2 linked regions of the Callithrix jacchus genome follow. The protein of the gene in region 2 purifies or fractionates together with the protein of the main gene of each other region. This does not show direct contact. Links are inferred from orthologs where the notes say so. Each region holds a gene or a part of one and is shown on either strand. Other genes may lie near its edges. The genes, in order: USP22 and ATXN7.

Region 1 (3,805 bases), on a different chromosome or scaffold from region 2:
CAGGAGGCCTGTGAACCTGGCTATCACCCCCCTGGGCCTCAAGCTGAGGCTGCAGGGACTAAGGGAGCCTGGTCATGCCCCTTGGCTCTAGCCCAGGTCCAGCCGCTTCCTGGACCCGCATCTAGCAGGCGTGGCGACTCAGTCCGCAGTGGGGACGCTGGAACATCCTACTAGCCTTTCATTCTTTCTACAACCTCAAGGCTAGAAGAATGGACACCGAGCTTTCCAGATGGAACCTTCCTCCAGCCAGAGGCCAGGAGTGGAGCTGGACTCCTCCAACAGGAGGGAGCATTTGTGGCACCGCATAAAATGGCCTTTCCTAGTGGGGCTGTGGGCAGCCAGGCAGGAAGCAGGTGGGTGGCAGAAGATCTGCTGGATGCCCTACAAGCAGACAGGAGCCCACCCCAGCTCTTGGCCAGAGGCCCTGGACACCCACACCACTGAGCACCACTTACTTGTTGTCGTTGTTGAGACTGTCTGTGGGCTGCTGGTACTGTCCGTTCATCCTACTCTCTTTGCTGTAACAAACAACGGCAGGATTCAGCATCATTAAAATCATCAGGCCCAGAGACACAAGGCTCTCATGAAACCAACACTTATCCAGGTCTGACTGTGCAGACGCAACGCTGGGGTGCACTTCATGCTTCGTGGAGAAATCTCCCCACATTTCGTGAGGACACTGACACTTGAGTTGTCAAGTCCCCTGCCTGAGAGCACACCCGGGTCCTGGGGCCATCTGGCCTGACCCCTGATTCTTCCAAGGTGGGTCCTGAATGGGCCTGGTGATGGGAGCTGGATCTGGATGAATGTGAATTTGGTTTGTGACACAGCAGGTGGTGAAGCTCTTCCTCCCACACATAAAGGGTTAGCTTGAAAAGCTGAATCCATTCCACAACCTAGGCAGCTGCCTCCTCAAAAGGGACAAAGATTGCCGCTCATTATTTCAAGACCGGCACCTCTCCTGGCGAGACGGGGGAGGGGCGGCTGGAAACAGGAAGCATGCGCACTATTTACTGCATTTTCCCACAGTGTGTTTGGCAGGAAACACCCAAGATCTCTGAGACTCTGACCTCAGCAACAGCACTGCCACGCCCTCAGTACGTGACCATCGTGGTCAGACTGATAATATGGAGCTCTGACTCTGGTGGTCTTGTTTTATTTGGGAGATCATCTGTGTGCCACAGGGGTGGAACAGCAAAGAGGAAGGACACCAGGGGCCAGGCAGAGTGGTTCACGCCTGTAATCCCAGCACTTTGGGAGGCCAAGGCAGGAGGATCACGAGATGAGGAGTTCAAGACCAGCCTGGCCAATATGATGAAACCCCGTCTCTACTAAAAAATAACAAAAATTAGCTGAGCGTGGTGGGGCGCACCTGCAACCCCCATTGTTTGGGAGTCTGAGGCAGGAAAATTGCTTGAACCAGCGAGGCAGAGGTTGCAGTGAGCCGAGATTGTGCCACTGCACTCCAGCCTGGGTGACAGAGTGCGACTCTGTCTCAAAGAAAAAAAAAAAAACCCCACCAAAAAAACACCAGGAACAGGCCGATTACCAAAAGGCAACATGCTTTCCAAGGTGCTGGGGCTGGGGCTGGGGCTGTGGCGGCCAAAAAAATAACACCCTGCAAATAACGACATCCAAGTCTCAACCCTCAGAACCTGATTCTGGAACCTCATCTGTGAAACCAGTCTTTGCAGAGACTCAAAGCAAGGATGTCGAGATGACATCCTCCTGGATTTGCCTGAGCCCTAAATCCAACAACCTGTCATGACGGAGAAGCACAGGGAGACTGGCCAGACTCAGGGGAACCAGCCCTGTGACCAGGAAGCCATGAGAGTGGCGCGGCCACAGAGGGAACATGTGGAAGCACCGGCAGCTGGAGGCGGTGAGGAGTGAAATCCCCCAGACCCAAGTAGGAATGTGAGGCCCTGCCCACCTTGATTTCAGATTTCCCACCTCTAGAACTGTGAGGAAATTAATTTTAATCCACCAAGTTTTCGGTCATTTGTCACTGAGCCATGAGAAACTCCTATGTGTCTCATGCATTGAACAGCATGGTATTCTGGAGGGTTAAATTCAAAGTGCCCCATAATATGCAGATTTGAAAAGGAAAATGCAGTCTACAACTGCAAAACCAACTGTGCCTGTCTGTACTTCAACCTCTGTTTCAGGAAGTAAAGCGTTACCTTCTCACTATGATCCACCTTGAGGAATCTGCCAGTTTGAAAGTGGTTTGAGAATTGTCAGAGAAACATTCAAAGCAAAAACAGGGTATCTGACAAAGAACAACTCATTAATGTGTACCATATCTTAAGATTAGGATAAATAGGTTTTGGGAGGGTGGGGTTTCTATTAATATAAACAATCATCTTTTCTTTTCCCCCAGAGCCGGAGTCTCGCTCTGTCAACAGGTTGGAGTGCAGTGGTGCGATCTTGACTCACTGCAACCTCCGCCTCCCAGGTTCTAGCTGGGACCACAGGCGCACGCCACCACGCCCAGCTAATTTTTGTATTTTTAGTAGAGACGGGGTTTCACCATGTTGGCCCAGATGGTCTCGATCTCTTGATCTCGTGATCCACCTGCCTCGGCCTCCCAAAGTGCTGGGATTCCAGGCGTGAGCCACCTCGCCCGGCCAACAGGCATCTGACAGCAGTTCCAAGCAGGATTCCTGTCCTGATAGGATGACAGACCCTCCGGACACAGAATGGGCCAACACCCCCACCTACCTGGAGGCCATGAAAGGGGTCATGTCCAGCTCTAGGGGGAAGGAGACATACGTGGTGATCTTCCTCCGCAGCTTGGCTGAATGTTCAAATCGCTGCAGAAATAGGAAAGGGGCAGAGGGAAGAGGAAAGACGACCAGAAACATTACTGGAAGCTTCAGGGGCTTCTTGTGATGACAGGTGTCTGTGTTATCGCTTTGTATTTTATTGAATTGCCTTATGGCTACATCTAGAATTAGATTAAAAAACAATAGTAATCCATACAAGACTTCATTTACAGAGTTCAAGTGAAGCCTTCAAATGATCGGCTTGTTCAGTACCCAGAGTACAAAAAATAATCTCGCAGCAAATCCAGCAGAGCACAGAAAACAAAACAAAGATCCACAACCCATGGCAGCAAAAACAAACCAACTGTTCCCTTCACCGAACAGACAGTCCTCTGCCTAGATCAGGAGTTACCCATTCTAGCCAACAAGCTAGGAATGGGTGCCTTCCATGTTTAAAGGGTATAAAATGAAACAAAGAGCATGCAACAGAGAATCGTATGCTCGCACGCAGCCTGTGCAGCCTGACAGCTTCACTATCTGGGCCTTTAGACAAACAGCTGGCCAACTCCTGGAGCAGATCTGAATTCTGAGGGCCTTTGTCTTCAAATAAAAGAACAACAGAAAACCTGAGGAGGGAGGAGCTAGAGGAATTTGGGTGGAAAAACTTCACAAGGCTCTGCTCCCCAAGAAAAGTTAACTCACATCCTACTTTCATTGTGAAGCCACTGATTCTGTTTACCGCAGCACAGACAAAAGGACAATTCCCAGACAGAAGGACAATTCACGAGCGTCCTCCATTCCTCAGTGTTCTTGCTGGCTTGCTGCAATAAAACATGTAACTGCACAGCAAACCAAAAGGCTGAGGGCCGCACTGTGGATTGGAAATTGAGCCTGCCACTCGAGTTGGCTTTCTGGAAAACTCACTTTGAGATGAAAACAGGCTACAATGGGCAGTTTCTTCATGGTGAGCTGCTTCGTGGACTCCTGGTAGCTGTGGCACCCACTACACTTGATCTTGGCACTGCTGCCCAAGTGCT
Region 2 (4,366 bases):
CAAACAAATGAACAACTGACTGAATTTAAAACTTCAGTCTCGACTCAGAAACATGTAAGTTTCAAGTGGCCTGATAGCTATAGCATCCTCTAAATGGTTAGAGCAGCTTTAAAAGGCGGAGGAAGGGAACCCTTAAAAAACACTAACAAGATCCATGTCCCCTTTGTGCCTCAAGCAGGTAGTTTAAGGTCTTTGATCTTCGTGGAAAACCTGCTGATAAATGAATCCCCACAGAAAATAACATATATCAAAAATTAGGTACAGTCCCCTTAATCTTGTTGGATCCCTGTCCAGATCACAGCACCCAGTAAAACATTAATACACTTAACTCATCCTTTACAGCAGAATTATTGATAATTAGAATCTTGTTTTCACACAGATTTAGAAACCCTTTATGGGAAATGCATCCACACCCAGAGAATGAAGACTAAGAACAAGAGTGGGTCAGGTCCTCTAAAGCTATACTCCAACTGCTTCCTATGCGAGTTGCCACCTAGTGATTTTAATTTTTTAAGCCCAGGCAGGCTGCCAATTAAACACTAAAACCGGACTAGCAACTGATTTTTCCCATTGCAACATCATCAACAAATCCTGTGCTTTCCCTCGCTTTCCTTTACCGTCAAACAGCAATTCTCATTTTAAAAATCGACTGATTTGTTCTATAATCTGTTCCAACAGGAAGCTCTCATTAAGCTGTCACTGGTATTACTCTTCCTCCCAGTGCCAAGACGCCAACAAGCGGCCAATTCAAAAAAAACCTGAACAGAATTAAGTGAAGAAAAAGCCGGTGTGAAAAACAAGAAGGAAATGTGAAGACAGTAACAATAGGCAAACTAAGGACTTTTGGGCAAACAGTTGCCAAAGTTCTACCTATTCTTGGACCATAGACAAAAATTCTGCCAAATTAAATGGCTACAAGTAAGAGATAAAATTGTATTTGGGAACTATAAACTCAGTATTCCAAACCTCACTGAAAGCCTTGTCCTAAGTCACCTAAAAAATAACTTGAAACTGAACCCAAACTTCACTGGACTTCAGAATTCCTTTCTGACCATGGTGTGCCCAGGCCCAGTGCAGGTATTAGACAGCGAAAGCTGACCATTCAAAGAAATAGAAAATACCAAGGAAACGTCTGACAGTTTCCAGATACCTGGCCTGACCTTCATTTGGAGGCATACCCTTAGCTACAGCTATTTCTCTAGAGTATCTTTTTATCAGTTTAAAACTAACCAATAATTAGACCCTGATTTCACTAGCTACGGGTAGTAAAGGCTTGTTTTACAAAATAAAGTCCTGGCTTGCTTTCCACACTGATCTTGGCGGCTCACAAAAAATCTGACCAATTGCACTCTGGGTTACAAAGATCTTTTTGTAGCATCCTCAACTTGTACTTTAACTCCCACAGAAATAAGACTAAATAGGTAAAGCATCGTCTTTAAGTTCAAAATTCGCTTTGATTGCCAACAGAAGATATCTCCTAAGCATTTGTGGAAATGTTTAAAAGCTAAGAAATCCTTCATCCATTCGTGTTTCTCCATGAGGGGGTCAGAACCGCAGAGATCTAGGTTAAACTTCCCATCGGCTCCCAGCGCTCATCACCAAAACTGCTGCTCCTGCCTGGCCACAGGATTCCGGACGCTCCGTATTACAGGAGGCCCCCAAACCAGACTTTCCAAGCACTCTGCCCTCTCCCTCCCTCCTCTCCTCAGGCAGCATCATTACAGGCACGGGGAAAGTCGGTATCGTGGGCTGAAGTTCCCGGCCCGGGTGAAGGGTCCAGGAAACTTCCCCGGGGGTTGCACAAACTCCATCAGGGGGGCTGGACTCACCTTCCCGACAGAGCCCCATGACTTCGCGGTTTTTCCCAAACTCCTTGAAACTTTCGTCCAATTCTGTCCCTAGGAGATATACACACACAGGAGGAGGGGAGAGGCAGGTCAGTGGCTGGGAGTGTGACGCACGCTCACGCACGCACAGGGTAGGTGTGGGCACCTCCGCGTTCCGCAACCCAGCGAACGATAGCATCTCGGCCCCTCGAGGGGGCGGGTCACAGGACGGGGGCGAGGGGGAGGTGAGGTGGGGGAAGGGGTCGTGGGGTGGGGAGTGAAGAAGGGAAGAGGGCGTGGACACTCACCGTCCTTTCCAGGAAGTTTGGAAGCCTCAACCCACAGATTCCACGACTGTCCCAGCATTACTTCAGGACTGGGCAGGGGCCTGCGCTCCCCGACCGTCGCCATTGCGGCAGCCGAGGTGGAGGCGGCGCCGGGCCCGCCGTCCTCCGGCCGTGGACGCCGCGGCGGCGGCGGCGGCGGCGGCGAATGCTGCCGCTGGGGCTGCGAAGGCTGTTGCTGCTGCTGCTGCTGCCGCCGAGCGGCCGCAGCCGCTGCTCCGCCCGCCGCCGCCGCCGCGCGGCGCGGCTCCCCCCTGACGTCATCCGCGGCCCGCTCCGACATTCTTTCCGCTCCTACAATGTAACAAAAAAAAGGGGGGAAAGAGTCGCGCGGGGGAAGCTTTTTAAGGAGGCGCCGGGGAGTTCCGGCGGCGTGCGTGGCCCGCGGACCGGGTGGGGCGCGCTGACAGCGCCCCCAGGCCGCCCAACCCCCTGAGCCCGCCTCCTCGCGGCCACCCCCAGCCCCGGGCGCAAAGTCCGCAGAGCGGACTAGCTTTCGCTTTCGACTCTTGCGGTCCCTGGAGGGAGAGTACTGGCGGCCCGCGGCCCGCGGCCCGCCACCGCGACGCTGGGTCCCCTGCTTGCCTCTGCCCAGGGGACCCGGCGCAGAGGCCGGCACCGGAGCGGAGGCCGGCGCCAGAGCGGCCCCACGCCCCACCACAGCAGCCCGCGTGGGGAAGCCCGAGCCGCACCCCAGGTCCTCCAGCTGCCCACCCGGCGGCTGCTCGCATCCCCGGGCCTGGCCCGGCTGCCCCGCTCCTTCCTTCCGTCCGCCCGTCAGTCCGAGCTGCGGCGCCCGGCCGGCTCCCTTAAGCGGAGGCGCCTCCCGCCGCCTCCTCCCACTTGCCGGTCCCTCCCTCTCAGCTCGCTCTAGCGAAGTTTGCACGTCAAGCCCCCGGAGTGCAGCCAGGGCGAAGTCGGAAATGCAACCACCTATGGAGGAGTTGGCCGGCTGGCCCCAGGGCAGCGTGGGAGAGGCTGGTGCAGGGGGCACTTTGCCCTCGGCTTGGGGACCGCCGCGCAGTTGTCAAAAGCATGAATGGGAAGCCGCCGCCAAGCAGACGCTGGGCACGCAGGGAACCCTGGGCTGGTAACGAAGTGCCGCCCAGGTGTCAGGACGAAGTACCCCGTGCGCGCCACGCTGCCCACACGTGTGCCCCCGACCCGCAACTGGAAGTCACAATTGTGCGCCCGGGGAACTTGAACTCATCCAGCAAAGAGAGACCATGAGATCAGTGTGAGAGGAAATGGAGGAGTGAAACAAACCGAGAAGAGGTGTAATTCGTCTACATGTTTTAGAGGCACCACCCCAATTTTGGGGCTTCCATTGGTCCTGGAAGTGATTTATTCACCCCCAAAATAAAAATCTGATTCATTTTTAACTCGAGTTATTAGTCCTTCCCTCTTTCTGCTTGTCTTTTCTTGGGCAGGATGAGACACCAGGGATTAGTGGAATATAAGGAATTGCTACAAAACATGTTTAGAAAATACTGTTTTTGGTCAAATTTTGTTCAGTAAATTAAACACTGGCCCACAAAACGTAGCACCCCTCCCCAACACACACAACATTTGCTTAGTGATAGGCTACAGATGGGAAAATAAAAGGCAACTTAATGACCTAAAGCATTCAAAATAATTGAAACAGTACCAGACCACACCACTTTCAATAAGTGTTGATATTATTACTATTACATGAAATTGATGTGAAAATTTGAAGCCTGAGATAAAAACAATGATTCTGGCTTCCTTAGGAAGCCAGACCGGAGATTCCCGGGCAGAACAGCACCATCAGTCTTAACGCCACTGTTTTAGACGCAGTGGGTTGCTCAGATTCCGGCACTGGGAAGCAATAAATTGGATGTCCACTCAGAAACCTAATTAGAAAGGCGATAACTGCAAAGAGGACAGATGGATAAATTTATAACGAAGGGAAGAAACCAGCTTAAAAAGGCTGAGAATACCCAAAATCAGAACACCTCTCCGTCTAGAGGGGATTACAGTTCCTCATCAGCAACCGAACAAGGCCTGATGGAGAAGGACTGTTCCATTAACAGAAGTAGGCTTCAGAAGGTGGATGATAAGAAACTTCTGGGAGTTAAAAGGAACTTGTTCTAACCCAATGTAAAGAAACTAAGAACTTTGAAAAAAGGTTTGACAAAATGCTAACAAGAATAGACAATATAGAGAGGAATATAA

Evidence for each region.
Region 1: the proteins of ATXN7 (region 2) and USP22 purify together in Homo sapiens (affinity purification with western blotting; 7 studies listed by BioGRID and IntAct, with this or other methods). This does not show direct contact. The link is inferred for Callithrix jacchus from reciprocal best matches to the Homo sapiens genes ATXN7 and USP22.

The regions. Positions count from the first base shown.
Region 1 is NC_133506.1:64,955,541-64,959,345, reverse strand, and holds part of USP22 (ubiquitin carboxyl-terminal hydrolase 22), read right to left. Parts: coding exon 3,693-3,805; intron 2,817-3,692; coding exon 2,725-2,816; intron 519-2,724; coding exon 456-518; intron 1-455. UniProt on the Homo sapiens protein: Deubiquitinase that plays a role in several cellular processes including transcriptional regulation, cell cycle progression or innate immunity.
Region 2 is NC_133516.1:45,686,419-45,690,784, reverse strand, and holds the start of ATXN7 (ataxin-7), read right to left. Parts: upstream 2,955-4,366; 5' UTR 2,885-2,954; exon of another isoform or gene 2,863-2,884; intron 2,465-2,862; 5' UTR 2,454-2,464; coding exon 2,135-2,453; intron 1,899-2,134; coding exon 1,830-1,898; intron 1-1,829. UniProt on the Homo sapiens protein: Acts as a component of the SAGA (aka STAGA) transcription coactivator-HAT complex. Mediates the interaction of SAGA complex with the CRX and is involved in CRX-dependent gene activation.